Anolis sagrei: one gene and its partners. The protein of the gene in region 2 interacts with the protein of the main gene of each other region in a pairwise test. Links are inferred from orthologs where the notes say so. Each region holds a gene or a part of one and is shown on either strand. Other genes may lie near its edges. The genes, in order: APIP, NUDT18, RAB3IL1 and NADK.

What was found.
Region 1: the proteins of NUDT18 (region 2) and APIP interact in binary tests that used the Homo sapiens proteins (3 or more experiments, as listed by UniProt). The two-hybrid records come from large-scale screens. The link is inferred for Anolis sagrei from reciprocal best matches to the Homo sapiens genes NUDT18 and APIP.
Region 3: the proteins of NUDT18 (region 2) and RAB3IL1 interact in binary tests that used the Homo sapiens proteins (3 or more experiments, as listed by UniProt). The two-hybrid records come from large-scale screens. The link is inferred for Anolis sagrei from reciprocal best matches to the Homo sapiens genes NUDT18 and RAB3IL1.
Region 4: the proteins of NUDT18 (region 2) and NADK interact in a two-hybrid assay, tested with the Homo sapiens proteins (2 studies listed by BioGRID and IntAct). The two-hybrid records come from large-scale screens. The link is inferred for Anolis sagrei from reciprocal best matches to the Homo sapiens genes NUDT18 and NADK.

Annotation. Positions count from the first base shown.
Region 1 is NC_090021.1:268,821,156-268,829,531, forward strand, and holds the start of APIP (methylthioribulose-1-phosphate dehydratase), read right to left. Parts: upstream 3,394-8,376; 5' UTR 3,277-3,393; coding exon 3,217-3,276; intron 1-3,216. Other genes in the region: PDHX (pyruvate dehydrogenase protein X component, mitochondrial), read left to right, coding at 4,724-4,865. UniProt on the Homo sapiens protein: Catalyzes the dehydration of methylthioribulose-1-phosphate (MTRu-1-P) into 2,3-diketo-5-methylthiopentyl-1-phosphate (DK-MTP-1-P).
Region 2 is NC_090027.1:21,780,796-21,788,355, forward strand, and holds the start of NUDT18 (8-oxo-dGDP phosphatase NUDT18), read right to left. Parts: upstream 3,182-7,560; 5' UTR 3,075-3,181; coding exon 2,874-3,074; intron 1-2,873. Other genes in the region: ITPRIPL1 (inositol 1,4,5-trisphosphate receptor-interacting protein-like 1), read right to left, coding at 6,058-7,560. UniProt on the Homo sapiens protein: Mediates the hydrolysis of oxidized nucleoside diphosphate derivatives. Hydrolyzes 8-oxo-7,8-dihydroguanine (8-oxo-Gua)-containing deoxyribo- and ribonucleoside diphosphates to the monophosphates. Hydrolyzes 8-oxo-dGDP and 8-oxo-GDP with the same efficiencies.
Region 3 is NC_090021.1:237,452,976-237,461,204, forward strand, and holds the start of RAB3IL1 (guanine nucleotide exchange factor for Rab-3A), read right to left. Parts: upstream 3,323-8,229; 5' UTR 3,053-3,322; coding exon 3,042-3,052; intron 1-3,041. UniProt on the Homo sapiens protein: Guanine nucleotide exchange factor (GEF) which may activate RAB3A, a GTPase that regulates synaptic vesicle exocytosis. Promotes the exchange of GDP to GTP, converting inactive GDP-bound Rab proteins into their active GTP-bound form.
Region 4 is NC_090033.1:1,677,577-1,685,466, reverse strand, and holds the start of NADK (NAD kinase), read right to left. Parts: upstream 3,272-7,890; 5' UTR 3,094-3,271; intron 1-3,093.

The DNA of each region.
Region 1 (8,376 bases), on a different chromosome or scaffold from region 2:
TGGTTCAATTCCACCATTGGTGGAGTTCAGAATGCTCTTTGATTGTAGGTTAACTATAAATCCCAACAACTACAACTCCCAAATGACAAAATCAATGGTGTAGTAGTTTGAATGTTGAACCAAGACCCTGAAGATCCTGTTCAGTTCCCTACTTAGCCATGAAACCCTTGGGTGACACTTTTGACCTCAGAAAACCCTGTGATAGATTAGTCTAAGGCTGTATCTACACTGTAGAATTAACACAGTTTGACCCCACTTTAACTGCTATGGTTCAATGCTAGGGAATCATGGAAGTTGCAGTTTTACGAAATCTTTCATCTTCTCTACCAAATAGTGCTTGTGTTTCATGGAACTAAAACTCTTATGATTCTATAGCATTGTGCCATGGCAGTTGAAGTGGTGTCAATTTGCATTAAAATTCTACAGTACAGATGTAAACAAAGCTAGAAATGATGTGAAGGTGCAGAACAACAGTATGAAGCACTGTTTTTCCCAGCATACATTCAATCTAGTGTTTCATTAGGCCCTCAAAAGAGAATCATCAACTACCTGCCAATCTGTTATTGTCAACCTGCATTTAGGAAGGTAATCAAAATCATAAAAGCAGATAGTCTGGATTTCAATAATAATAAAGTTTATTTATATCCCGCTCCCTCTCCTCAAGGGACTCGGGGTGGCTTACGATATAAATATACAATAAGTGCAATACAATAAAAATCATAAAATGGAATAAACAATAACACATCCATCGATATAAAACACAAAATACAGCACAATCAAGTCACAAAAATTAACAATAAAATTATGAACATTAGATTAAAAACACACTCATTCCTATGAGCTAAAAGGGGCTTGCTGCTTGCTACTAAGTCCATATCCTAGAGATTGACTAATCACTATCAAAAGCCTGTTTAAATAACCAGGTCCTCAAGTCCCTGGGGGGCCACCACTGAGAAGGTTCTCTCCCTCATCCCCGCCTGCCTCGCTTGTGAAGGAGGTGGGACCGAGAGGAAGGCCTCCTCAGCCAATCGTGAGGCCCAAACAGATTTATATGGGAGGATGTGGTAACGTAAATAGGCAGGACCTGGGCCCTGCAGAGTTTTTTTTTAGGTACTAACGTGCACTTTGAATTGGGCTCAGAAACAAATAGGCAACTAGTGAAGCTGCTTGGGGGGTGGGGTGGGGGTTGGAGTTGTATGATCTGTATAACCCACCCCCGTCAGCAACCTGGGTGCCAATCTTTGTACTAATTGGAGCTTCTGAGTCAGGCCCGTAGCCAGGATTTCGTTTCGGGGGGGGGGGGGGTGAACTTTTTCAGGGGGGGTTTCGGGGGGGGGGGGGCTGAGTCTGAGTGAAACCTTTTGTATCATTACCCCAATACCCCCATGCATATGGGATATATTGAGTATGGTGATCAGATCATGATATGAATAAACATAACAGTTTAAATAATGCACCATTAAGGCCTTTTCGCGAACCACCATGAAAATTTCGGGGGGGGGGGGCTGAAGCCCCCCGAGCCCCCCCCCCCCCCCCGGCTACATGCCTGTTCTGAGTCATCTTCAGAGGTAGCCCTACATTACAGTAATCCATACGTTACAGTAATCCATACGAGATGGAACTAAGGCATGGACCACCGTGACCAGTTCTGGCTTTTCGAGGTATGATCAAAGTTGGTGCACAAGCTTCAATCGTGCATAGGTCCTCCCTGCCACCACCGACACCTGAGTGTCAAGTGTCAGTTCTGAGTCCAGGAGGACCCCCAAAGTGTGGACCTGTGTCTTAAGGGGGAGTGTTACCCCATTGGGCACTCCCCGATTTTATGTGGTATCTACAGGTTTACTAGTTGAATGTTTGGCCCATAAAACAATAAAAAATTAAAACAGTCAACACTGAATACTGGTGGGATTTGGTAGTGACTGTCCTTGGAATCCGGGAGTTATAGTTCACCAGCATCCAGACAGCACTGAACCCAACCGACAACGAATATGTGCCAGACTTGACATACAGATGTAACTTGGCCAACTTTGAATACTAATGGGGTTTGGGGAGATTGATTTTGGAATCCGGGAGTTATAGTTCACCAGCATCCAGAGAGCAATGAACCCAGCCGATGACGAATCTGGACCAAACTTGACATACAGACCCAACTTGGCCAATACTGGCAGGGTTTGAGGTGATTAGCCCATGATTTTTTGGGAATTGTAGTTCATCTACACCCTTTTGAACTGGATTATATGGCAGTGTAGACTCATATAATCTAGTTCAAAACAGATATAACCTAGTTCAAAACATTGCCTGTTTTGAACTTTAACCTCTTGTTTGCTACTAAAGCTGTTTTAAAACAATAAAAAAGTGTGTCAGAAACATGACATGTTTGGAAAGCTGGAATAGACTAAGATATATTTCAGAGGGAACCAAACTCCCTCTTGAGTATCCCTTGTCTATTATGGAAATCCTATGAAAATTAATGGGGGACTTGAAGGAGAGCAATACTACTACAAAGTTTCTTGATTTTTCAAACTGATCTCCAGAGGGTTTTTTTTAAAAGGCCAAATGTGACAACAGGTCTTAATCATTCTAAAGGCACAATTTCATAATAATGATTTTATTATTTTTACTTGCCTCTCCTAGTGGGTGGAGGCAGGTTACAGCATAATTACAATGCATAAACAATGCGCAGTCGGTTAAACTGCTAAGCTTGTTGACCGAAAGGTTGCAGGTTCAAATCCGGGGAGCAGCGTGAGCTTCCGCTGTCAGCCCCAGCTTCTGCCAACCTAGCAGTTTGAAAACATGCAAATGTGAGTAGATCAATACTCCGGCAGGAAGGTAACGGCGCGCCTTGCAGTCATGCCGGCCACATGAACTTGGAGGTGTCTATGGACAACGCCGGCTCTTTTGCTTAGAAATGGAGTTTTGAAACAATACACGTCTAAAAAAGCATGTCAGCAACATGGCATGTTTGGAAAGAGTTGGACACAAGTGAACTTAAAGGCGTGGGACAACCTTTACCTTTAAACATTGTAAATATTCTATAAATGCATGTATTAAATGTATTTCTATAAAATATACATATTAAAACATATTAAGACATACTAAAATACACAGAAACAGAGATTAAAACACAGGACACAAGTTTAAAATTCATGATGAAGCCCCTCTCTCCCCAGCTTGCATGGGCCGAAAGGAGACCGAAACAAGTTCCTTCCTCGTTACCTTGGCGTTCTCCCAGCCGTTCCTGCAGGGACAGCTGCAATCCCCCCGGGCTTCAGCCATAGAGCTAGGTTTCAGCAGCTGCCCTTCCTTCTTCCTATTGGGCTGCTGAAATCGGAAAGGAGAAGGAAGACCCCGGCCCTTTCCTGCTCCTGACGCAGTTGCATAGGCGAATCCCAGACTATAGTGCTAAAAGTTTATTGGACTTCAACTCCCAGAAGCCTCAGCTGCCTTGGGCAACGAGTAGGAATTCTGGGAGATGAAGTCCAAAACGCTTGGCAGACCAACGTTTGGGAAACACAGCATTACACTATAGAATACGATTTGTGTTCCTGGGTTATAAATGCCATTTGGGTCTATCATAAACACATGGAAACGGTTTTTTAAACTGCAAAACTATGTTTTGGGGGGACATCCTGCAACAATAGGATTTAAAGTGGATTCATTCTCTAGAGTGATGAGATATTGAATTGATTTTGTCATTTGGGAGTTATAGTTGCTGGGATTTATAATTCACCTACAATCAAAGAGCATTCTGAACTCCACCAATGGTGGAATTGAACCAAACTTGACACACAGAACTCCCATGGAAATACTGGAAGGGTCTGGTGGGCATTGACCTTGAGTTTGGGAGTTGTAGTTCACCTATATCCAGAGAGCATTGTGGACTCAAACAATGATAGATCTGGACCAAACTTGGCACAAATACTCAATATGCCCAAATGTGAACACTGGTGAAGTTTGGGGGAAACAGAACTTGACATTTGGGAGTTGTAGTTGCAGGGATTTATAGTTCACCTGCAATCAAAGAGTATTCTGAACTCCACCAACGATAGAATTGGGCCAAACTTACCACACAGAACCCCCATGAACAACAGGAATACTGTGTTTTCTGGTGGTCTTCGGCGACTCCTGTGACACCCACTCGCGACCCCCCCCCCCCCCCGGTGTCCCGACCCCTAGGTTGAGAAACGCTGTCAAACTACAAGAAAGGCGATTCCATCTGAACATTAGGAAGAACTTCCTGACTGAGAGCTGTTCAGCAGTGGAACTCTCTGCCCTTCAGTGTGGCGGAGGCTCCTTCTTTGGAGGCTTTTAAACAGAGGCTGGATGGCCATCTGTCGGGGGTGATTTGAATGCAATTTTCCTGCTTCTTGGCAGAATGGGGTTGGACTGGATGGACCATGAGGTCTCTTCCAACTCTGTGATTCTTTCAGCAGAGAAATAGTGTTGGGGAAGCTTCACCCGTTGGTTGTTATCATTTTGCCTGGCATGGTATTGTGATGCCATTGTGTATACATAGTAACTTATAGTGCAGGAAGCCTCCTTCAATGAGAGGAAAACGTTTTGCTTCTCGGATGCCGGGTAGACAGTGTCCCCACTGCACACTGAGTGCAGACAGTGGAGGATGAGTTTTGTGCAGGCGGAAGGGAGGCCAGCCCCTTGGTGCCTTTTCCTCTCAGGCAGTGCGATAGACAGCCCCGGCGGGAGGGCGGCGGGAGAGGGAAAGATGGCGGCCTCCTTGTGGCTCATCCGCTGCAGCAGAGGAGCGGCCAAGCTGTGGCTGGGCAGCAGTGTCTCCCGAGGGATCCTGCGTTGCCCGCCTCGGGAGATGCGGGGCAGGTTTCTGCACAGGACTCAGGAGCTTCTGGGTGAGTGCCTTGCTAGAGAGCGGTGAAATGGGCCCTTTGCCCGCAGTCTCACTCCTGGGGGAATGTCAGGCAGAAATGTCATTGAAAGGGAAGCAAAAGGGAGCCTTGAGGTTGTGTGTGCGGCAAAGAAATAGCTTCTGAGTTCTTGTGGGTTTTTTCGGGCTACATGGCCATGTTCTAGAGGCATTTCTCCTGACGTTTCGCCTGCATCTATGGCAAGCATCCTCAGAGGTGAGGTCTGTTTTCCCAGTTCCAACAGACCTCACTACCTCTGAGGATGCTTGCCATAGATGCAGGCGAAACGTCAGGAGAAAATGCCTCTAGAACATGGCCATATAGCCCGAAAAAACCTACAACAACCCAGTGATTCCGACTATGAAAGCCTTCGACAATACATTATTGTAATTGTTTATATGTAGCAACATCGAATCAATGCCAAATATAAGCCATCCTGAGACCCCCTCCAGGTGTAGAGAAGAGACAGGGTAGAAATACCAGAAATAAATCAATAAATCAATCAATAAACAATGTATACACCAGGCATAGGCAAACTTTGGCCCTCCAGGTGTTTTGGACTTCTGCATCGGCTGTTAGGAAGGTAATAGTATGAACACTGGGTCCAGAAGCTCTGAGCGTTACGCTGTTTCTGCTTCGCTCCTTCGGGAGTGCTGTTTGCGCAACGCAGAACGGAACACAGATATTATAGAAGGAATGTAAGAATTCTTTAATGGTAAAACCCTAAACCTTACCCAAACCCTTACCCCAAACTTTACCCTAACCCTAAACTTAATCCTAACTCAAACCCTAATCCTAACCCAAACCCTAAATCTTAGCCTAACCCCTACGCCTAATTCTAACCCTAATCCTAATCCTTACTCTACCCCAAATCCTAAACCTTACTCTAAACATTATCCTAACCCTCCTCTCCTTTCTATCTTTCCACCAAATTGAAGTATATTCCCGCCCTCAGTGTGCTGCTCTCCCCTTTCCTTATTCATAACTGCTGTTGCAGAATGTGCGTAACAATCGGAGCACCCGGACCCAGCTATCATACTATCACCTACACCGATAACGGTTTATAATTTTGTAATAATGATGATGATGATAATGATAATAATCTATATAAATAAAAATGTAACGTTCGTTTGTGGGATTAACATAACTCAAAAACCACGGGATGAATTGCCGCCAAATTGGGCCACAAGACACCTACTAACCTAAGGAGTGACCATCACTAAAAAAAATAAATTAAAAAATTGTCATTTGGGAGTTGTAGTTGCTGGGATTTATAGTTAACCTACAAACAAAGAACATTCTGAACTCCACCAATGATGGAATTGAACTAAACCTGGCATACGGGACTCCTATGACCAACAGAAAACACTAGAAGGGTTTGGTGGGCATTGACCTCGAGTTTGGGAGTTGCAGTTTACCTACATCCAGAGAGCATTGTGGACTCAAACAATGATGGATCTGGCCCAAACTTGGCATTAATATTCCATATGCCCAAATATGAACACAGGTGGAGTTGGGGAAAATATACCTTGACAATTGGGTTTGTAGTTACTGGGATTTATAGTTCACCTACAATCAAAGAGCATTCTGAACCCTACCAAAGACAGATTTGTGGCAAACTTCCCACACAGAACCCCCATGACCAATTTAAGGCCATCCAGTCCAAGTCCCTTCACCAGGGCAAGAAAACAGAATCAAAGCCCTCCTGACAAAGAGCCATCCAGCCATAGATATTGATAGATAGATATGATTCACACACACATATAGTGTCATAGATTTGAAAGGGGGCCCTAAAGTAGGACAATTATATGTTGCATGTTCCAGAGTAGGCAAACCAGACAATCTCCCAATCAACACTGACAAAGAAACAGCAAGAAATACCGATTACCCACAAGCATAAAGAAATTACATATATTAGAAACCAACACTTTCTCATTACTTTATTTTCCAAATCACCAAACTGGGCCACAGCAATGTGTGGCAGGGGATCGCTAGTAATAATAATAATAAACTTTATTTATACCTCGCCACTATCTCCCCAAAGGGGACTCGGGGCGGCTAACATGAGGCCAAGCCCAGGATTACAATACAGCAAAATAAAATACAACAAAGCAAAAATAACATCAAAATAAGATGTATAAAATAGCTAAATAAAATAGTTACAGAATAACAAGAAAGAAATATAACACAATGGGCGGGCCAAATGCATGGGATAAAAATTGATAAAACCTTAGATGAGATAGTAGTGGGAGAATGTGTTTCTGAGGGAAGGGCTCAAAAGAGTGGGGTTAAACTTTCATTAAGGACAGGGGAAAGTGGATCATGAGGACAGAACTGTAGTTGGAACAAACAGGATATGGAATATATGTTCACTGACCAAAAGCACATTGGAAGAGCCAAGTTTTAAGGTCTTTCTTAAAAGCTGCCAGGCTTGCCTAATCTCACTAGGTAGTGAATTCCAAAGTTGGGGGGCCACAATGGAGAAGGCTCTCTCAAATATGTAACTAAACTAAAAAAAATTCTGTCCCTGGTTTGAAAGTGCTAATTCCTGTTTAATTGTTTGGTACTTACAAAATACACAACTATGTATCCCCATTTTCCTCAGTGAAGTGTTGGACAAAATAACCTAAGAACATCACCTTAAACAAGCCACACTCACACCTTAAACAAGTCACACTCAGAGGAAAGCAATGGCAAGCCTCTTCTGAACTAATCTTTTACCCCCAAAATCCTGAAATAGCATAACCTTTCAGTCACCATAGGTCACAAACAACTTCAAGGCATGTGATAACTACCAATGGTGCTGTGATATTGGTCTGAGACGACCAGATATTGCAAACTCTACAGTTGGCCTTTCATGTTCACGGATCAGGCATGGGCAAACTTTGGCCCTCCAGGTGTTTTGGACTTCAACTCCCTCAATTTCTAACAGCCTCAGGCACTTTCCTTTCCCCCCTCAGTCAGCTAAGGAGCTGGGGGAGGGGGGGGGGGAGGAAAGGTCCTGAGGCTGTTAGGAATTGTGGGAATTGAAGTCCAAAACATCTGGAGGGCCCAAGTTTGCCCATGCCTAGTGTGCACCTTGACAGTTTATAATTCTGTAATAATAATGATGATAACACTATGTAATTAAATTTAAAAAAAATCTGCCCCTAGTTTGAAAGTGTTATTTCCTGTTTAATTGTGTGGTACTTACTTTGAAAGTAGTAGTTGTTGTAGTAGTAGTAATAATAATAATAATAATAATAATAATAATTTTTATTTATATTCTGCCCTATCTCCCCGTAGGGACTCAGGACAGATTCCAGTCACAAAAAGGCAAACATTCAATGCCTAAACATAATAATTAATTCACACATAGCAATTAAAATTGAAACTACACAGCATACAAAGACAAATTATAATGTAACAATTAAAATTAACTTTAAACACAACCTATTCTATAAGACACTTTGCCACAAACTGTGCTGAATTGGTTGAGACTCTGAAATATGGATTG
Region 2 (7,560 bases):
TTGATCAAAGAGCCACATTTTCACTTTCTTACAGAAGGTCAGGAGGGAGGGGGCCAATCTAATAATAATAATAATAATAATAATAATAATAATAATAATAATAATGTTCCCCCATCAATCAGCATGACAAGTAGTTTCCTAATAACAATAATAATTTTCCCCACCAATCAGCATGGTATTATTATTAATAACTAGCCGTCCCTGCCACGCGTTGCTGTGGCCCACATGGGGGTTCTGTGTGGAAGGTTTGGCCCATTTCCATCATTTGTGGGGTTCAGAATTCTCTGTGATTGTAGGTGAACTATAAATCCCAGCAACTACAACTCCCAAATGTCAAGATTCTATTTTCCCCAAACTCCACCAGTGTTCACATTTGGGCATATTGAGTATTCGTGTCGAGTTTGGTCCAGATCCATCATTGTTTGAGCCCACAGTGATCTCTGGATGTAGGTGAACTACAACTCCCAAACTCAAGGTCAATGCCAACCAAACCCTTCCAGTATTTTCCGTTGATCATGGGAGAACTGTGTGCCAAGTTTGGTTCAATTCCATCATTGGTGGAGTTCAGAATGCTATTTGATTGTAGGTGAACTATAAATCCCAGCAAACTACAACTCCCAAATGACAAAATCATTTTTTTTTAGTGAAGGACATACATTGGGTTGTTAGGTGTCTTGTGTCCAAATTGGATGTCAATTCGTCCAGTGGTTTTTGAGTTCTGTTAATCTCACAAACAAACATTACATTTTTATTTATATGGATAATTTTATTTTTGCCTACCTCTCCTCCCGACTCAAGTAAGAGGAAGCACTCTTATTACACTGCAGTACCCAGCATCCCCCTTAAGCCTATCATCATCATCATCATCATCATCATCATCATCATCATCATTTCATCATATCTCACTTTTAGGTCTTGAATGAGATACAAAGCAGCATCAATTTCGAGAAGGCCTCTTTTCTTCCACTGCAAGGCCCAGCATCCCCTTGCCAAACAGTCAATGGCACCAGAGCTCCCTTTGGAGGGGGACTACATTTCCCATCAACCACCTCCCAAAGAGATGGGAAGTAGTTTCCCAAGAATCCGGCGAGAGCCCCCTTTCCCATTTCGGTGGGAAATGGGGGATGATGGGAATGGCAGTCCCCCCCTTTCCGGCACTGCAGGGAACATCATCCCCTGGATCCCCAAGGGAAATCCTTCCTATGGAAGTGCTTCTTTTCGAAGGAGACATGGCAAATTCCAGCATCCATTCCCCGCTCCCAAAGTAGCTTCCAGTTCATTTTAGAGGGGGGCTACAACTCCCATCATTGCCTGCCCACCCACACACTGGGATTATGGGAGTTGAAGTCCTCTCCTTTTTGGCACTATAGGGCTCGTCTTCCTCTGGATCCAAAAGAAAAGTTATTCCTTTTGGGGGAAGGACTACAACTCCCAGCATCCATACCCTCCTTCCTCTCTCGCCTAAAAGTAGCTTCTTAGGAGAGTAAGGAGGGAAAGAGGGGGAGATTATGGGCCCTGAAGTGCCAGAAAGGGGAGCACTACAACTCCCATCATCCCAGGCCCACTGATGGAAAGTGGCTTCCCAATAATCGGAGGGGGGCTTTCTGATTATAGGGAAATGGGGGTGATGGGAGTGGCAGTCCTCCCCTTTCTGCTACTAGGAGGCCCATCAGCCTGATGACTTTGAAGTGGGGGTGATGGGAGTGGCAGTCCTCCCCTTTCTGGCACTAGGGGGCCCATCAGCCTGATGACTGGGAAGTGGGGGATGATGGGAGTGGCAGTTCTCCCCTTTCTGTCACTAGGAGGCCCATCAGCCTGATAACTTTGAAGTGGGGGGTGATGGGAGTGGTAGTCCTCCCCTTTCTGGCACTAGGGGTCCCATCAGCCTGATGACTGGGAAGTGGGGGGTGATGGGAGTGGCACTAGGAGGCCCATCAGCCTGATGACTGGAAAGTGGGGGGTGATGGGAGTGGTAGTCTTTCCCTTTCTGGCACTAGGAGGCCCATCAGCTTGATTACTTTGATGTGGGGGGTAATGGGAGTGGCAGTCCTCCCCTTTCTGCTACTAGGAGGCCCATCAGCCTGATGACTTTGAAGTGGGGGTGATGGGAGTGGTAGTCTTCCAATTTCTGGTACTAGGAGGCCCATCAGCCTGATGACTGGGAAGTGGGGGTGATGGGAGTGGTAGTCTTCCCCTTTCTGGTACTAGGAAGCCCATCAGCCTGATGAGTGGGAAGTGGAGGTGATGGGAGTGGTAGTCTTCCCCTTTCTGGCACTAGGGGGCCCATCAGCCTGATGACTTTGAAGTGGGGATGATGGGAGTGGCAGTCCTCCCCTTTCTGGCACTAGGAGGCCCATCAGCCTGATGACTGGGAAGTGGGGGATGATGGGAGTGGTAGTCCTCCCCTTTCTGGCACTAGGAGGCCCATCAGCCTGATGACTGGGAAGTGGGGGTTGATGGGAGTGGCAGTCCTCCCCTTTCTGGCACTAGGAGGCCCATCAGCCTGTTGACTGGGAAGTGGGAGATGATGGGAGTGGCAGTCCTCCTCTTTCTGGCACTAGGAGACCCATCAGCTTGATGACTGGGAAGTGGGAGTGATGGGAGTGGCAGTCCTCCCCTTTCTGACACTAGGAGGCCCATCAGCCTGATGACTGGGAAGTGGGAGTGATGGGAGTGGCAGTCCTCCCCTTTCTAGCACTAGGAGGCCTATCAGCCTGATGACTTTGAAGTGGGGGATGATGGGAGTGGTAGTCCTCCCCTTTCTAGCACTAGGAGGCCCATCAGCCTGATGACTGGGAAGTGGGGGGTGATGGGAGTGGCAGTCCTCCCCTTTCTGGCACTAGTAGGGGGAGGACTTGGGCTGCGGCACCCACCTTCTCGTTGAGGAGCACGGCGAGGACGATGTAGGTGGTGTTCCTGCGGAGGCGGGCCTTCTCGGGGGGCTCCAGCGGGGCCGAGTCGTACCCGCCGCCCTCCGAGGACAAGGGCCAGCCCTGCCCGCCCAGCACCGCCCCCACCTCCGCCACGGCGCCCGCCCCGCCCCCGGCCATCGACCCCGCCCCGGCCTTCCGCATTTGGCAGCCCTCTGCACGCGCCCCGGAGCCCTCTCGCGCGGGGAGGCGGCGCCCGCGAAGGCCCTGGGCCCCAGGCAGGCCACGCCCACCGCACGCCAAGGGAGAAGGCCACCGAGGGGAGGGAACAAAGCGGGCGTCGCTCTTCATTGGACAAAGCGCATTGCGCTTTGTCCAATGAAGAGCGACGGCCGCTTTGTTCCCTCCCCTCGGTGGCCTTCTCCACTGGCGTCCGGTGGGCGTGGCCTGCCTGGGGCCCGCTATTCGTTACTCATTGGCTCGACGCAAAGCGCTCCTCGCTTCTCATTGGACGGAGCGCTCTTCTCCTCCCCATTGGGTAAAGAGTCGAACCCTCCTCGCTTCCCCATTGGCTGGACGTAAAACGCTTCCCGCTTCTCATTGGACGAAACGCTCATCTCGTACCCATTGGGGTAACAGCTCAGCGGTATTCACTCCTCATTGAACAAAGTGGTAATCGCTTCCCAGTTGGGTGAAGAGATTAAAAGATGGGCTCAAAGCCAACCTTAAAATCTCTGGCATAGACACTGAGAACTGGGAAGCCCTGGCCCTTGAGCGCTCCAGCTGGAGGTCAGCTGTGATCAGCAGTGCTGCAGAATTTGAAGAGGCATGAATGGAGGGTGAAAGAGAGAAACGTGCCAAGAGGAAGGCGTGTCAAGCCAACCCCGACCAGGACTGCATTCCATCTGGAAACCAATGCCCTCACTGCAGGAGAACATGCAGATCAAGAACAGGGCTCCACAGCCACCAACGGATCCACAAGAATACTGGTCATGGATGGAAGACTAGCCTACTCGTCCAACGAGGGATCGCCTAAGGGTGAAGAGTCAAGTGCTCCTCATCTCCCCATTGGCTGGGCCAACTTGGGCCCTCCAGGTGTTTTGGGTTTCAACTCCCACCATTCCTTTTTTTTATATAGAGATAATAATTTTTATTGATTTATCACAATTACTACATTTGATATACAATTGTTATTACTGTTACATTTTGTACAACACACTCTTTAACATGTTATTTTATTGTTTTGCTCAAACATTTCCCCCCTTTATTTCCACCACAGTGCTCCCACCATTCCTAACCGCCTACCTGGTGGAGGGCCCATGTTGGCCCAGGCCTGGGCTAGACTGAAAGCGCTCCTCGCTTCTCATTGGACAAAGACCTCCTAGTTTCCCCATTGGCTGACCAACAAGGTGCTGTTCTGGGTTACTGTGATTATAAGAACTGGATTTTATGAGGCCACTTCTACACTTCTACATAGACATTCCAGATAATCTGCTTTGAACTAGATTATATGGCAGTGTAGATTTGATGGGGAGATATTAGAAATATAGATATTTGTTTATGTATAAATTGTGTACTTTACAAGCACTGAAATGTATCAAGTTCTCTCTGTATCAGAAATTCAAGCTGACAGGACAAGCAAGCTGCGTCCAGGCACAGCAAGAGGGAGGTGAACATTAAAGGGTGGGGGGAGAGATAAGCCCATCCTAGTGGCACCGAGCCCAGGCTATAGCTAAGTAAGGAGCCTATCTCTTCCTCATGACAGGTCAAAGTAGGCCCCTTGATTGATGGATGTAGGCTGTATGCTGCTCTTTAGAAAGAAATACAGAGACATGCCTTTTGTATGTTGGAAGATAGAATTTGATATTTCTGTGATGCTAAAGTGATGCAGAGAATTATTATTTTTTTGTCGTGTCAGGGAGCGACCTTAGAAACTGCAAGTTGCTTCTGGTGTGAGAGAATTGGCCGTCTGCAAGGACGTTGCCCAGGGGATGCCCGGATGATTTGATGTTTTATCATCCTTGTGGGAGGCTTCTCTCATGTCCCCACATGAGGAGCTGATAGAGGGAGCTCATCCACCTCTCTCTGGATTCGAACCTGCGACCTGTTGGTCTTCAGTCCTGCCAGCATAGGGGTTTAACCCACTGCGCCACCGGGGGCTCCTGCAGAGAATGATGTCAGTGTATGTAGATGCATGTTTGCCTGCATTTGAAGTGTACAAAAAGGCAGTCAACGCCTTTATCAGGCACTCTTAAGTGTTTTTGGACACAGCTCCACTCCAGAGTCCCAGCTGGAAATAAACCCGTGCTTTTCCAGACGTCAGGAACTCTCTTTGTCTCTTTTCCTAAAACCTTCTGATTTTATATTATTTTAATTGTTTTTATTGTATTCTTATGCTTTGATGTTAACTGTAAACCGCCCTGAGTCATCTGCGGGCTGAGAGGGGCGGTATATAAATGTAGCAAATAAATAAATAAATAAATATAATCCAGTTCAAAGCAGATAATGTGGATTATCTGCTTTGATCATCTGGATTATATGGCAGTTTAGAGGGGGCCAAAGCGATGTCAAACTACATTAATTCTGCAGTGTAAATGCACCCCAAATTACAGCTTTTCCTATAGTTGCCAGAGCAGACCTTGGGAGTTAAAGGTAAATGTAAACGAGTGGTACCTATTGATCTACTCACATTTGCCTGTTTTCAAACTGCTAGGTTGGCAGAAGCTGGGGCTAACAGTGGGAGCTCACCCTGCTCCCCAGATTTAAACCTTACGGTCAGCAAGTTCAGCAGCTCAGCGGTTTAACCCACTGTGCCACCAGGGGCTCCTCAATTGGGAAAGTAGATGGTGTATAATAAATCAAACCACATTGAAATAAAATTTGAGAACACCGCTTGTCCAGCCTTTATTTGAAGTCTAATAGAACAAATATGTGAGGAACTGGGGTATATAAAAATACAGAATCATAGCTGCTGCAAGGACATTGATTTGAAACCCTTTATCTGCCTTATCCGTAAAGCATGACTTAGGAAAACAGCCGAATTTGGATCACTCTTCAGTGGTACCATCGCTCCCTTGTGTGTCTAATTCAAGTTTGTTCAGAACCATTGGAAGCAGTATCAACCACTTTCCCCGCCATTGGGCTCTATGGTTCCTCGATGGGACTCTGGGAATGAAGCTGACCCAAGCTACTCTTCCTGCTTTGAGTAGAGGGCCCTCACCCGTTCCACGATCTCTGTGGCTTCCTTTATGGCTTTGGCATGGAGACCATTGTTGGCTGCCAAGTGATCAAAAAGATTGAGGGGCTCAGCACTCCGGAGGACTTGTGGCATCGGGATCTGGATCGGCAACGAGATGTTCCCGATGAGGAAGTGCTCGAGATATTTCTCCCGCACTGCCGTGTGCAAGAACAAGAGGATGTCTTGGAGCCTCGTTGCCAGGTTCTCAGGGTTCCAGTCGGAGACCGGCCGCAGGAGCAAGAGGTGCATCAAGCAAGTCTTGTAATGGTAGTCAGTGAGGACAGGGTTCTTACCGGACGGACTACCAGAACCCTTGAGATACATCAGGATCTGGAGACACTTCAAGTGACAGCTCCATTCGGGTGCCCGTTGGCCAAACCATTCAAAGAAGAGCAGTTCCTGAACAGCGAAGGTCTTCAGCCAAATGGTGCCCTTGGTAGGGTTGGCGTCTCCACAGTGGGTGACTAGGAAGACCAAGGAGTCTCCTTGCTGGACACCGAGGGTGATGTCCACCAGAACAGAACGCCCAGAGTGGAAGGCCAGCTTCAACCGGCATGTTGTGGCCGACGGCATGAGCGTGAGGTCGAGGGTGTACCTCTCACGGAGGTTCCTCCAAGCCTTGACCACCAAATTCTGGTACCAGCGGATGGTCTTCCCCACATCCAAGTGGGAACTGGTGCACAAAATGTGGAGGAGGAATGCGCCTTCTTCACTCAGATCCCGGTCTGGGTGGTGGAGGAAGCACACCACGTCACCCAGGAGCCGCTGCCTCTTGCAAACGCAGTCCATCTCCACCAAAATGTGGCCATGTTTGCTGGGTCCACCCTCAGCATCACTGCTTTCAATTTGGAAGGAATGGCCTTTGGGCGGCAGGAGGGGCACCAGGACAGTGAAGGGTTTCGACAGCCGTTGTATGTGCCACCCTTCAAAGGCGCTGCCCACTCCGATGCAGTTCTCCATTAGAGGAAGGGTGTTCTGGTATGGAAGGGTTTTCCGACCTTCATCCAACAAATCGTTGACGAAGGTCTCCACAAAATCGCACACGTTCTTCAAGTCGCCGTTTTCCAGTCCAATATAGCAGTCATAGAAGGCCTCCAGCTTCTTCTGGTTGGGTTTGCCAACTTCCGGCTCCATGTCCGTGTCGTCGTCGTATTCATCTGTGGTGGACGTGCTGGAGCCATCCGTGCTGGAATCGTAATGGGTGTCCTTTTCCATCGTGTGCCTGCAGCAGCCAAAGACAACAAGGATGATGAGGCCCACGTAAGGCCAACCATCCCAGGTCCCGTCTTCCACCGGCAGGTCAGGCTTCACAAATTTCTCCTGCTTCTGCTTCGGGACCCAGCTCCAGGCCTTCTGCTCAAATTCCACTTGCAAGTAGTCCATCTCCTTGTTCAACAATTCCTCGTGCTGCTGGATCCGGCCCAACGTGGCAGGATCTGTGTCATCGCTGAC
Region 3 (8,229 bases), on a different chromosome or scaffold from region 2:
GCTGTACTTGCTGACCGAAAGGCCGCTGGTTTAAATCCGGGAAGCAGGGTGAGCTCCCACTCTTAGCCCCAGCTTCTGCCAACCTAGCAGTTTGAAAACATGCAAATGTGAGTAGATCACTAGGTACTGCTCCGGTGGGAAGGTAATGGCGCTCCATGCAGTCATGCCAGCCACATGACCTTGGAGGTGTCTACTGACAACGCCGGCTCTTCAGTTTAGAAATGGAAACGAGCACCAACCCCCAGAGTCAGTCACGACTGGACTTAATGTCAGAGGAAAACCTTTACCTTTACTACTAAATCACAATGACAGGAAGGCACTCCACAACAACAGTTCTGAATGGTGTGTTTACTTTTTCTTCAGAATTCAACTGGAGGGTCAAACTTCTGGAGACCAGATTATCGATCTCCTCCTGCTATGGACATGTGATTGTGGCAGCTAAAAGACAGCTAAATAAAAGGATCCTTCATCCACAACTTCTAGTCCCATGCCTCCCACTCATCCTTGGGCGATCTTTGCCCATTAGGTTCAGGCTTGAACTAGTGGAAGTTGGTGAGGAGGAGAGGAGTAGCATGGAAAAGAATGGAGAGGGTGCAAAGCAAGGTGGGGAAAATTCTACCACATCCACAACACCGACCCACAGAGGAGCCAGTGTGAGACTTGAACCTTGGGGTGATGGCTCTGGAGACCTGGGTTCGAATCTCTGCTGGGCTACAGAAACCCACTGGTTGAACTTATGTGAATCACACTCTCTCAGACCAAGGAAGCGAACTGCAAAGGCCTTCTGGAAGAAATCATGTCCAGGAAATCTTGTGACAGGGTGCCTGAGGGTCTTTAGCATTCTGGCAGCTAGAAGACAGCTAACTAAAAGGAACCTTCATCCACAACTTCTAGTCCCAAGCCTTTTTCCCATCCTTGAGTGATCTTCCAGGTTCATAGAATAGAATCATAGAATCAAAGAGTTGGAAGAGACCTCATGGGTCATCCAGTCCAACCCCCTGCCAAGAAGCAGGAATATTGCATTCAAATCACCCCTGACAGATGGCCATCCAGCCTCTGCTTAAAAGCTTCCAAAGAAGGAGCCTCCACCACACTCCGGGGCAGAGAGTTCCACTGCTGAATGGCTCTCACAGTCAGGAAGTTCTTCCTCATGTTCAGATGGAATCTCCTCTCTTGTAGTTTGAAGCCATTGTTCCGCGTCCTAGACTCCAGGGAAGCAGAAAACAAGCTTGCTCCCTCCTCCCTGTGGCTTCCTCTCACATATTTATACATGGCTATCATATCCCCTCTCAGCCTTCTCTTCTTCAGGCTAAACATGCCCAGCTCCTTAAGCCGCTCCTCATAGGGCTTGTTCTCCAGACCTTTTATCATTTTAGTCGCTCTCCTCTGGACACATTCCAGCTTGTCAATATCTCTCTTGAATTGTGGTGCCCAGAATTGGACACAATATTCCAGGTGTGCTCTAACCAAAGCAGAATAGAGGGGTAGCATTACTTCCCTAGATCTAGGGAAGTAATGCTACCCCTCTATTCTGCTTTGGAGGAGAGGAAGTATGGCAAAGAATGGAGAGTATGAAAAGCAAAGGAGGAGGAGTCTTCCACATCCACAACCCCGACCCACAGAGGAGCCAGTGTGAGACTTGAATGCTGGGGTTATGACTCTGGAGACCTGGGTTAGAATCTCTGCTGGGCCACAGAAACTCACTGGGTGACCTTGTGTGAGTCACACTCTCTCAGACCAAAGAAGGGAACTGCAAATGCTTTCTGGAAGAAATCGTGTCTAGGAAACCTTGTGATGGGGTGCCTGAGGGTCTTTAGCATTTTGGCAGGTAGAATGAAGGTAGACCCTTCATCTGCAACTTCTAGTCTCATGCCTCCCACCCATCCTTGGGTGACCTTTGCCCATCAGGTTCAGGCTTGAACTAATAGAAGTTGGGGAGTAGGAGAGGAATAGCATGGGAAAGAATGGGGAGGGTGCAAAGCAAGGCGGGGAAAAGTCTCCCACATCCACAATCAGGGGTGGCTCAACCCATTACGCAAAGTAAGCATTTGCAGCATAGTTGATTTTGCCCAGGGGCGCTCTTGAGGCACTCTTGGGGAAAAATAGACCTTGACATATGTGAGTTGTAGTTACTGGGATTTATAGTTCACCTACAATTAAAGAGCATTCTGAACTCCACCAATGATGGAATTGAACCAAATATGGCACACAGAACTCCCACGACGAACAGAAAATATACATCAGTGATTGGTTGGGGGGGGGGGGGTGCCAAAATACTGTTTGCTTACCATTGAAAATTACCTAGGGCCGCCTCTGTCCACAATCCCAACCCACAGAGGAGCCAGTGTGACAAAATGTCTTGAACATTGGGATGATGACTCTGGAGACCTGGGTTCAAACCACTGGTGGGCCATGGAAACCCACTGGATGACCTTGTGTGAGTCACTCTCTCTCAGCCCAAGGAAGGGAACTGCAAACACCTTCTGGAAGAAATCGTGTCAAGCTACTTGATCATACTAGAGAATGAATCCACTTTAAAACTGGTTTCTGCCTCCTACAGAATTCTGGGGTTTGTAGTTTAGTGAGGCTGTTAAAGGTTCCTCCCTAAACTACAATTCCCAGAATTCTGCAGAAACCGGATTTAAAGTGGATTCGTTCTCTAGTGTGATGAGAACTAATGTGACGGGGTGCTTGAGGGTCACCATAAGCGAGATGCGACTTGGAAGACAGAGTGGTCCCTGCTGCCCTTTGGGGTGCTCTCCACTGTGGAAGGAAAGCGATTGGACACCACTTGAACTGTCACGGCTCTGCTGTGGAATCCTGTGGTTTGGAGGGAAAGCGAAGGGCAGCAGTGAGAGTGGTGTCAAGCTGCATTCATTCCGCAGTGTAGATGCACCCTTGAAGCTGTAAAACCTCCGCACCGGGTTTTCTCCAAGCCTCCCCTCCTTGGTGCAGAGCAGAAGGCAGGCCAAAAGGCCCCGGGGAAGCAGCCCCCTTCGGTGCCCTTTCTGCCACCCTCCCCGTTAACCCGCAGCACCTACCCGCGCCACATGCTGCCTCCAAGGACGTGGCCGCCGGAGCCTCAGGAAGAGAAGGAGGGCGCCTCCGCCGCCGCCGCCGCAGCCATAGCCATAGCCATAGCCATAGCCATGGTCGGGTCTCCTTCCTTGCAAGGCAGAGCGCAGAGCTCGCCTTCAATGCAGGGCGGCCCGCTTGCCTTGGCTTTTCCCCTCCTGGAGCCGCTGCGGCAGGCGCTGGAAACCCTCCCAGCCCAGCTGCTCGGACGCCTCCGCAGCTGGAGGAGAAGGGATGGGCGGGGGAGGGGGCAGGAAAGGAGGAGGAGGAGGAGGAGGAGAGGTCACGTGACCTCCCCGAAAGCTCTCCCCCCCCCCGCTTTCACGTGACCCCCCTTCTCTCACTCTATCCACTCATGAACGGAATCCTAAACTGGGAAGAGACCACTAAAGGCCATCTAGTCCAACCCTCTGGGATACTCCTGACAAATGGCCTGGATTCAGCCCCTGCTTTAAAATATCTCCTGAGAAAGAGACTCCCACCACACTACTCCAGGGCCGGGTTGCTCTGAGTTTTCCGGGCTGTATGGCCATGTCTCCAGAAGTATTCTCTCCTGACGTTTGGCAGGGGGATTCCAGACAAAAATTAATCAGGGCCAGCTAACACCTCCCAACAAAGGATTCCCCCCAGGCAGCAATCAGCCAGGCTTTGAAGCTGCAGGGCCATTCATTGCTAATCAAGCTAGCCAATTGCAGCTTGATTCTCTCCTTCAGGAGAGAATGCTTCTAGAACATGGCCATATAGCCCAAAAAACCTACAACAACCCAATTGCAACATTCACACTTGTCCCAAGCAGACAAGAGTTCTTTCTCCCACCCTGGACATTCCACAGATATATAAACATCACTTTCCAACAGACCTCACAACCTCTGATGCCTGCCATAGATGTGGGTGAAACGTCAGGAGGGAATGCTTGGAGCATGGCCATGCAGACCAGAAAACTCACAGCAACCCGGCCATAAAAGCCTTCGACAACACATTGTTCCAGGGCCTCTTAAGCCTTTCCCTCACAGGATTCCTTTTCACCCAAGAGTTGTGGTTTTACAAGGTCTTTAGCCTTCTCTGCCAAAAAGTGCTGGTGAGTTGCTAAACTGAAACTCCCAGGATTCCAGAGCATTGAACCATGGCAGTAAAAGTGATGCGGTCTTCTGGGATCTCCCTCGCTGGGAGGACCCCAAAAAAGAGCTCGATAACAAAAGTAGTGCCAAACTGCATTTATACTATATTCTGTAGATCAATCATGGGCCAACTTCAGCTCTCCAATTCCTAACAGCCTCAGGCCTCTTCCTTTCCCCCCTCAGATGCTTAAGTGAAAGGAAGTATAGTTTAATGTATTGTCGAAGGCTTTCATGGCTGGAATCACTAGGTTCTTGTGGGTTTTTTGGGGCTATAGAGCCATGTTCTAGAGGCATTTCTCCTGACTCTGTTCCTGCCATACTTCAAGGGAATCACTGACCGCATAGGGAAGCTGATGAGGAAACACAACATACAAACAATCTACAAACCCACCAAGAAAATCCAACAAATGCTATGTTCAGCAAAGGACAAGAGGGATCCTCTCACCTCTGCAGGAGTCTACTGTGTACCATGCAGCTGTGGACAAGTCTACATAGGGACCACCAAACGCAGTGCCCAAACAAGAATCCAGGAACATGAAAGGCACTGCAGACTACTTCAACCAGAGAAGTCAGCCATAGCAGAGCACCTGATGAACCAGCCTGGACACAGCATATTATTTGAGAACACAGAAATGCTGGACCACACCAACAACCACCATGTCAGACTACACAGAGAAGCCATTGAAATCCACAAGCATGTGCACAATTTCAACAGAAAGGAAGAGACCATGAAAATGAACAAAATCTGGCTACCAGTATTAAAAAAACTATAAAATTACAACAGCAAAACAACAGAGAGGAAACAACCAGGCACAGATTAACACCTCCCAGCAAGAGATGTTCCCAGACTCAGACAGGCCTTCAAATGCTAATGAATGTGATCAGCTGAAACATTCACACCTAACTGCAGCAGGGAAGAGCTCCTTGCCCCACCCCAGCCATTCCACAGATATATAAACCCATTGTCCTAATTCCAACAGACCTCACTACCTCTGAGGATGCTTGCCATAGATGCAGGCGAAACGTCAGGAGAAATACCTCTAGAACATGGCTCTATAGCCCGAAAAAACCCACTAGAACAAAGTATAGTTTGCCCAGGCCTGGTGTAGATGCACTCACAGAGATAGTGCATCCAAGAGGACCTTTTCCTTTGCTGTCCAAAAGAGGAGCAGCTGGAAGATATTTGACAGCTCAGTCAGTTGTCAGAATGCAAGACACTTCTGAAGACCCATCTCTTCCAGCAGGCAATTATTAACTATGAATTTTAGATTCACATTCTATATCAGGTCCAGGCAAACTTCAGCCCAGGTGTTTTGGACTTCAACTCCCACAATTCCCAACAGCCTTGGGCCCCTTCCTTTCCCCCCTCATCCGCTTAAGCAGAAATGGCCTGAGGCTGTTAGCAATTGTGGGAGTTGAAGTCCAAAATGCCTGGAGGACTGTTCTATGCTTGTTGTATTTTAATTTTTGTTCTATACTCTAATATGTGCATTTTGTAAAAAATAAGTTTTAATATAAGTTTTCATAAAACTTATGTTATGATAATATATTTTAACTGTGTTGTGCCCTGCCAAGAGCCATAAGGAGAAACAGGTAAAAATACAATTTATTTTTTTATTTATGTATTATGACTAAACTGAAGCTGTCCTACTTTGGACATAGGAGAAGAATCATAGAATCAAAGAGTTGGAAGAGACCTCATAGACCATCCAGTCCAACCCCCTGCCAAGAAGCAGGAATATTGCATTCAAATCACCCCTGACAGATGGCCATCCAGAATTCACGCATTAGAAAGACAGCAGTGCTTGACAAAATGGAGGACTGTAAGAAGACCCCATTTCAGATGGATAGATTCAAGCCATGGCTGTCCTGAGTCTGAAAGATGGCACGGGAACACAGAAGTCACTCAAGAATAGGCTCTCCATAAGTCGAAGTTCATTTGACAACAATTCAGAAATAGCCTCCCAGAGAAGCCTCCAGGAGCAGCAGCTCGCCTTTGAAACAGGTTGCACTCCCATTGACCCATCCACCCCCATTCAATATGAAGTCAAACACTTGTTTTTCAATGCTAGAAAGCAGGCTTCCAGCCACACCCCATATCTCTCATTTTTTGGTCATCCATATGGCTCCTGGAGTTTCCCAAGAACAGAAGCAGGCTTCTCCTGATTTTGAGCAATGCTTGGCAATTTCTTCTTTGGCCTTTGGCTATTACAGCAATAAAGAGGAGCAGGGAAGGAAGTAGCAGCAGGTATTGCTCTGTAAGCAGTTAACATGTATATCAAGATGTCCTTGAAGGGTAATTCACTGCAAGAGTTGTCTTTTGTGATCTGTTGCCCAGATAGAGTTTAATGGAAAGCCAAAACTGAGGAAAACCGGGGCTTTTCAGTTTGAGAGCTGTCTCTCCCTTGATCCCACATTAAACCCATTGGCTATAGTACCTAGGCATTTCCATGAGTTGCAGTACAACAACAAACAGCTGAACAGCGTATAGGGTTACAACCTGAAGACACAGGTTCACAGCTTGGTAGTTCTTCTGGTCTCATTGCTGAGCTTGGAACAACAGATCTCGGCGGTGGCCAGGGGATCGTTCGAACAATTAAAACTTGTGCGCCAGTTGCGCCCGTACCTTGGGAAGTTATACTTGGCCACAGTAGTCTACACTCTGGTTACATCTCGAATAGACTAGTGCAATGTGCTGTATGCGGGGCTGCCTTTAAAGACGGTTCAAAAGCTCCAAATGGTCCAACGGGTGGCAGCCCAATTGCTCACCAGAGCGGCATACAGGAAGCATAAAACCCCCCTGTTACGTCAGCTTCACTGGCTGCCAATTTGCTACCGAGCACAATTCAAAGTGCTAGCTTTAGCCTATAAAGCCCTAAACAGTTCTGACCCAGCTTATCTGTCCAAACGTATTTCCCTCTATGAACCACTGTGGAGTTTAAGATCATCTGGGGAGCCCCTGCTCTTGATCCCTCCTTCCTTGCAGGCATGATTGACCAAGATGAGAGACAGGGCCTTCTCAGTGGTGATCCCTTGACTGTGGAACTCCCTCCCTAGTGATGTTAGAACAGCCCCCTCACTTCTGACCTTCCACAAGAGAGTGAAAATGTGGCTTTGTGACCAAGCCTTTAAAGAACTTGTGCAATAGATGGACTTGGGTTTATGTGCAATGATCATTAGAATGGCCCGGATTATGCTCGTGGATTATGTGTTTAACTCTTAATATATAGTTTTTAAATGTTTTAATTGTTTTAATGTATTTTTAAATTCTATTTTAATATTTATTTAAATATACATTGTGTTTTTGGGCATTGAATTGTTGCCTGTATGTAAAGCTGCCTTGAGTCCTCTCTGGGGTGAGAAAGGCGGGGTTGAAATGTCATAAATAAATATCTCAGGCCCACCGCTGCCTTAAAAACTAAAACATTTATTATGATAGAAGCTTCCATTAATAGCAGTCTACCTCCTCATAGGCATGAAATGTGAGAAAACATATAATATGCCGGGGAAAGTGAGATGAAGTAGGAAAACAGGAAAATCACACTACACTTGGATTGACTCAGTCAAAGAAACCCTGGCTGCCCTGATTTACAAGGCCTGAGTAGAGATGGTTGGAGGTTTCTCATCCATAGGGTTGACATAAAAAATAACACAAGAAATGCACAAAACTATTAATAATAAATATATCCACCTCCCTTCATGCTTCTACAATGAAAAATTTAGAATTCTTTTGCACAGACATTAAGAAGCCCATGAAAGCCAACACCCGATATAGCAAGAACAGAAATAAATGCATGATATTTCCAACAAGTGGTTTTTTTAGTCAAAACTTTTTTCTATCTGTATTGTGGAACATATGCAGCCCTTTCAAGATTTTGTTTTTAGGGGACTACATTGCTCTTGAAGTTTCAATTGCATGGAAACTTATATGGGTTAATGTAGATATAAGAGAGCCAGTATGGTGCAGGTCCTCAGTGTTCTTATTTGGGACTTTTGTGGGTGTTTTCTCCTGTCCCCTCAGTTTTATGCTCTCTCA
Region 4 (7,890 bases), on a different chromosome or scaffold from region 2:
ATAAATATGGTGTATTACATTACATTATATTATAAGCTATATAAAAATTTGGTACCAGACTTTTAAAATAAAGCACCACATGAGGATAACGGTTACCAAAACCTTTGTCTCTACAACCATCCGATGCTCCGAAATAAATTCATGCCACAAAGGCAGTGAGTCATAAGAAACAGGAGGAAAATAAACTTAGATAAACACACTTGTGTGGCTCTTTTCCACGGCTCTTGATTTATGTAACTTTGATTAATCCACCCCTTATGCCCAAAGTTAAAAATAGACAAAACTCTTCCACATTCGAGGCCACCGGGCCCACTCAATCTATTGCAACTTTCCTTTTACATTGCATGGTTATAATCTATATAGATAAAAAAAATGTAATGTTAGTTTGTGGGATTCACATAACTCCAAAACCACTGGGCGAACTGACACCAAATCTGGACACAAGACACCTCTCAGGCCAAGGAGTGACCATCACTCATCAAAACACTGAAAAACACAACAGAAGGGATAGGTAGGAACACTGATAGATTAGACAGGATAGATAGACAGGATAGATAGATAGATAGATAGATAGACACATACATACATACATACATATATAGGTAGGAACATAGATAGGTAGGAACACTGATAAGATAGATAGATAGATAGATAGATAGATAGATGATAGGAACAATGATAGACAGATAAATAGGAACATAGATAAATAGGAACAGAGATAGACAGACAGATAGGAATACTGATAGGTAGGTAGGTAGGTAGATAGATAGATAGGGACATAGGTAGATAGGAACATAGGTAGAAACATTGATAGGTTAGACAGACAGACAGACAGACAGACAGACAGACAGGAACAATGATAGACAGATAGATAGGAACATAGATAGATAGGAACAGTGATAGACAGATAGATAGGAATACCGATAGATAGACAGACAGATAGATAGATAGATAGATAGATAGGGACATAGATAGATAGGAACAATTAGAAAGGCAGACAGACAGATAGAAATACCCATAGATAGATAGATAGATAGATAGATAGATAGATACCTAAATAGATAGGAACATAGGTACGAAAACAAATAGGTTAGTTAGTTAGATAGATAAATAGATTGATAGATAGACAGACAGATAGATACGAACATAGATAGATAGGAACATAGGTAGGAACACTGATAGGTTAGATAGATAGATAGATAGATAGGAACAATGGTAGATAGATAAGAACATAGATAGATAGGAACAATTAGACAGGCAGACAGACAGATAGAAATACCCATAGATAGATAGATAGATAGATAGATAGATAGATAGATAGAGACATAAATAGATAGGAACATAGGTAGGAAAACAAATAGGTTAGTTAGATAGATAAATAGATTGATAGATAGACAGACAGATAGATACGAACATAGATAGATAGGAACAGAGATAGACAGACAGATAGATAGGAACATAGGTAGGAACACTGATAGGATAGGTAGATAGATAGATAGATAGATAGATAGATAGATAGATAGATAGGAACAATGATAGACAGATAGATAGGAACATAGATAAATAGGAACAGTGATAGACAGACAGATAGATAGGAATACCGATAGATAGATAGACAGACAGACAGAAAGATAGAGACATCTATAGATAAGAACATAGATAGATAGGAACAATTAGACAGGCAGACAGATAGATAGAAATACTCATAGATAGATAGATAGATAGATAGATAGATAGATGGATAGATGGATAGATGGATAGATGGATAGATGGATAGGGACATAAATAGTTAGGAACATAGGTAGGAAAACAGATGGGTTAGTTAGTTAGTTAGATAAATAGACAGATAGATAAGAACAATGACAGACAGACAGACAGGAACATAGATAGATAGGAACAGTGATACACAGACAGATAGATAGATAATAATACCGATAGGTAGATAGATAGATAGATAGATAGGAATAGTTAGACAGACAGATAGGAATACCCATAGATAGATAGATAGATAGATAGATAGATAGAGACATAGGTAGGAACACTGATAGGATAGATAGATAGATAGATAGATAGATAGATAGATAGATAGATAGGAGCATAGATAGGAACCGTGATAGATAGACAGACAGATAGACAGATAAGAATACCCATAGATAGATAGATAGATAGATAGATAGATAGATAGATAGGACCACGGATGGTAGGAACATATAGATAGGAACAAAGATAAGATTGGTATATAGATAGACGTATGTGTCCAGAGGAGGGCGACTCAAATGATCAAGGGTCTGAACAATCCCTATGAGGAGCGGCTTAAGGAGCTGGGCATGTTTAGCCTGAAGAAGAGAAGGCTGAGAGGAGATATGATGAGAGCCATGTATAAATATGTGAGAGGAAGCCACAGGGAGGAGGGAGTGAACTTGGAGACTAGGATGTGAAACAATGGCTTCAAACTACAAGAGAGGAGATTCCACCTGAACATGAGGAAGAACTTCCTGACTGTGAGAGCCGTTCAGCAGTGGAACTCTCTGCCATGGAGTGTGGTGGAGGCTCCTTCTTTGGAGGCTTTGAAACAGAGGCTGGATGGCCATCTGTCAGGGGTGATTTGAATGCAATATTCCTGCTTCTTGTCAGGATGGGGTTGGACTGGAAGGTCCCTTCCAACTCTAGGATTCTATGAAAGAAATCTGTGAAGCATACTGATTGTGGTGGAGGCTCCTTCTTGTGAAGCTTTTCAACAGAGGCTGGATGGCCATCTGTCAGGGGTGCTTTGAATGAGATTTTCCTGCTTCTTGGCATTCTATATAGATAGATGGATGATAGGCAGGCAGACAGACAGACAGGGAACACAAATAGATAGACAGAAGGCAGACAGATAAACACAGATAGATAAACACAGTCCTGCCATGTAGGAAGACACCATCCAAGCCCTCCCGACAGATGGCTCGCCAACCCAGCCAGGCCTCTCCCTCTCCCTAGGCCTCAGGCCTGCCCTCCCAGATAAGGGACTCCAACTCCCATCAGCCCCTGCCGAGGCAGCCAGCCGCGAGGGACGCCGGGAGATGTAGTCCAAGCTGGGCCCGCCCCGCTCACCGTGGGCCTGGCTCTCTCTCCTCCTCGCTCTCCTTCCCGGGCCTTTTCAGAAGCCTCCCGCCCGCCGGCAACTCCTCCAGCCGGGCCAGGTGAGCCGGCCTCGGCCTGGGAAGCCACAACACTCCGGCCCGCCTCCGCCCTCCATCCTCCGCCCTCTGAGGGAAGGGACCGGCGCGCCCACTGCGCATGCGCGCCTCCCTCCGAGGGCGGGGCGCCTCCTCACGCCACCCCCAACGCGCATGCGCACCGCTGCCAGGGCTCAGCGCGGTGGCACCACGGGAGTCGTAGTCTCGGCCCTCATCGACGCAGAGGGAGGAAGCGCGGGGCAAAGACTACATCTCCCAGGATGCCATCGCGCCTGAGCTGTGCCACTCTCCAAGGGGGAGTCAAACTGCTCCCAGGAGGAGGGTTCTTCCTCTCTTCGCCTTCAGGCATTTCCTCCCTCTTTTTTCCCCCTTTCTTTCCTTCTCCTCTTGCCTTTTCTGATACACCTTTCCCCTCTTCTTTCTTTCTTTCCTTTCTCTTCCCTTTCCTCCCTTCCTTTTCTTCCTCCCTTCTTTTCCTTTTTCTTCCTTTCTTTCCTTCCTCCCTTGTTTTTCTTTCTTTCTTCCTTCTTCCCCCTCCTTTTCCTTCCTTTCTTCTTTTTCTTTTTTTCCCTCCCTCCCTTTTTCTTCCTTGCTTCCTTTCCTTTCTCCTTTTTTCTTCCTTCCTTTCCTCCCACTTTTATTTTTCTTCCTTCCTGTCTTCTTTTTTTCTTCCTTCCTTTCTTTCCTCCCTCTCTTACTTTTCTTCCTTCCTTTCTTCCCTCCCTCCCTTATTTTTCTTCCTTCCTTCCTGTCTTCTTTTTCTCTTTCTCTTTTCTTCCTTCCTTCCTTTCTCCTTTTTTCTTCCTTCCTTCCTTCCTTCCTTCCTTCCCTCCTTTCTTCCTTTCCGCCCTCTGTTATTTTTCTTCCTTCATGTCTTCTTTTTCTCTTTTCTCCCTTTCTTCCCTTTCTCCCCTCTTTGTCTTCCTTCCTTTCCCTCCGCTTTTATTTTTCTTCCTTCCTTCCTCTCTTTTTTCTCTTTTCTTCCTTCCTTCCCATCATCCCTTTTTTCCTTCCTTCCTTATATTTCTTCCTTCCTGTCTTCTCTTTCCTTCCTTCCCTTCTTTTTCTTCCTTCCTTTCCTCCCTCCCTTATTATTCTTCCTTTCTTCCTGTTTTCTTTTTCTTTCTTTTCTTCCTTCCTTCCTTTCCTTCCTATGTTTTTCTTTTCTTTTTCTTCTTTTTCTTTTCTTCCTTCCTTCCTTTCCTTCCTACGTTTTTCCTTTCTTTTTCTTCTTTTTCTCTTTCCTTCCTTCCTTCCCTTCCTCCCTTCTTTTTCTTCCTTCCTTCCTTTCCTTCCTACGTTTTCCTTTCTTTTTCCTTCTTTTTCTCTTTCCTTCCTTCCTTCCCTTCCTACCTTCTTTCCCCTTTTTTTCTTTCTTCTTTTTCTCTTTTCTTCCTTCCTTCCTTTCTCCACCTCTTCACAATGCCTTCATGTCAGCATGGCTCTCCAACCAACCTGCATACATACTCTGAAAGCTTTTCCTTCTGAAAACACAACCGATGGAGCTTCAGAATGATGCCAATGAGGCCCGACAGCTCATCGGGCCACGAAGGCCTATTTTGAGACGGCTCAGCCGGTCGCTTCTAAAGAAAGCGGCCTTGGCCATGAACTCCTTCAGGCTTACTTTCCAGGAAAGGATCAGCGGCTTGCCAGCTGTCTTTATGCAGAGGCTTGGATGGCTATCTGTCAGGAGGGTTTTGATTGTGTCTTCCCAGCAGAATGGGGTTGGACCGGATGGCCTTTGGGGGTCTCTTCCAACTCTATGTGTATGTGTAATATACACTATATATTATGCATATACATATATAAATGAAGTTATGTATGCTACGTATGTATGGGGTGCACCTTTGAATTGGGGAGGGTGATTAATACACAATATATACATACACACACACATATACATATATATATATATACATATATAAATGAAGCCATGAATGCTATGTATGTATGGGGTGCATTTCAGAATTGGGATGATTAATACATTATATATATATATATACACACATACACACACACACATATATACATACATATATAATTGTATATACATATATAAATGAAGCTATGTATGCTATGGGGTGCATCTTAGAATTAGGGAGGGTGATATATATATATATATATATATATATATATATACACATACACACACACATATATATACATATACATATATAAATGAAGCTATGTATGCTATATATGTATGGGGTGCACCTTAGAATTGGGAAGGGTGATTAATACAATATATATATATATATATACACACACACACACACACACACATACGTAATATACATGTACATATATAAATGAAGCTATGTATGCTATATATGTATGGGGTGCATCTTAGAATTAGGGAGGGTGATTAATACATATATATATATATACACATACACACACATATATATACATTATACATATACATATATAAATGAAGCTATGTATGCTATATATGTATGGGGTGCATCTTAGAATTGGGAAGGGTGATTAATACATTATATATATATATACACACACACACACACATATATACGTAATATACATGTACATATATAAATGAAGCTATGTATGCTATGTATGTATGCGGTGCACCTTAGAATGGGGGAGGGTGATTAATACATATTTATATATATATACATATACATATATATGTGTGTGCGTATAATATACATTATATATTACACATATACATATATAAATGAAGCTACGTATGCTATGTACGTATAGGGTTCACCTTAGAATTGGGGAGGGTGCTTAATATATATACATATATATATATCTTATACATATATAAATGGAGCTATGTATGTATACATATATATATACATATATAATATATAAAATATACATATACATTACACATATACATATATAAACAACGCTGTGTATGCTATGTATGTATATATGGATAGATCTATGTTACCCAATCTCGGTGGCACTAAAACCAATGTGCAAGACGTTGGATAAGACGCCCAGCGAGAACTCTCCGGCCCCGTTAAGCAGGGATTTATTTCCGAAGGGCACATTCCCAAGAGCCGTTCTAAGCAGAGATTTGGCCAAGGCGGCCCAAAGCTGTCTCGGGAAGGTCAACAAAAGACGGGGCAGAAAGCCACTTCTGAGAAATGTCTCGTCGTAATAATAGTCCAAGGCGCTTAACTAGCCCGAACAAGCCTTGAGTAAAGAGTGATTTCGCCATAGCACAAAGCATCGCTGTTAGAGCGTAGCAGCATTACAGCATATTGCTTCTCTTCCTCAGAGTAGCGTATTGCTTCTCCGAACTGTATTCTAAAATCCATACAGTTATACCCCAAACATGCTGGCTGACCTACATTACCAGCTGTACAAAATAATTAACACCATAAGGGTTTTCTTTAATGCACACTTGATCCTGCTACGACTTACTGTAATACATACTTCGCACTTTAACAACACAATCGTTCGATACTAAGGCTGCGCCAAAATGGAACTGTAGAGGAGAGTCTACAAAACTAAAGTTCTGGTGGTGAAAATTTCAGAACTCTAACAAAACTTTCAAAATTCAATTATTATTATTTCATTATTGGTGATTTTTATGATAGAATCAATTAGGAACTACCATTTAGAATGAAATTTTGAGAGGTTTGTTAAGAGTTCTGAAATTTTCACCACCAGAACTTTAGTTTTGTAAGTAATTTAGAAACATTTAGAACCATGGATTGACCAGGCCTAATATATATATATATATATATATATATATATATGTTGTTCATTTCTTCAGTCGTCTCCGACTCTTCGTGACCTCATGGACCAGCCCACGCCAGAGCTCCCTGTTGGCCGTCACCACCCCCAGCTCCTTCAAGGTCAGTCCAGTCACTTCATATATATATATATATATATATATATATATATATATACACACACACACACACATACATCGTCTCCGACTCTTCATGACCTCATGGACCAGCCCACGCCAGAGCTCCCTGTCGGCCGTCACCACCCCCAGCTCCTTCAAAGTCAGTCCAGTCACTTCATATATATATATATATATATATATATATATACACACACACACACACATACACACACACACACACACACACACATCGTCTCCGACTCTTCGTGACCTCATGGACCAGCCCACGCCAGAGCTCCCTGTCGGCCGTCACCACCCCCAGCTCCTTCAAGGTCAGTCCAGTCACTTCATATATATACACACACACACACACACACACACACAATATATTATATTATTAGCCTAGTACAATATCAGTCTTATATATTACTATATTGTACTATACCATTATATTGTAATGTTATTAATAATATTACATGAAATACAACTATATTATTATTATTATTATTATTATTATTATTATTATTATTGGCATGACCCCGCCCACCCTTTCCTACTTTTTCCAATTCTGGGCCCTTCCACACAGCTGAATAACATTCCCCATTTTCTGCTTTGAACTGGAATATATGGCAGTGTGGACTCATCTTGAACCCAGTTCAAAGCAGATATTGTAGGATCATAATCATCTATTTTTCTAATTGTCGCTTCGATAAGGAATAGCAAGGCGGATATCAAATAAAGAAGGAATGATGTATTTTTTATTTTAATAGCCTCCCATTCCAATGCTAAATGCAAGCATCTTGCACTGGAGTTTGACACCACTATGGCAGAATGCTATGGTATCCTGGGAGTTGTAGTTTCATTGAACTTGAAATT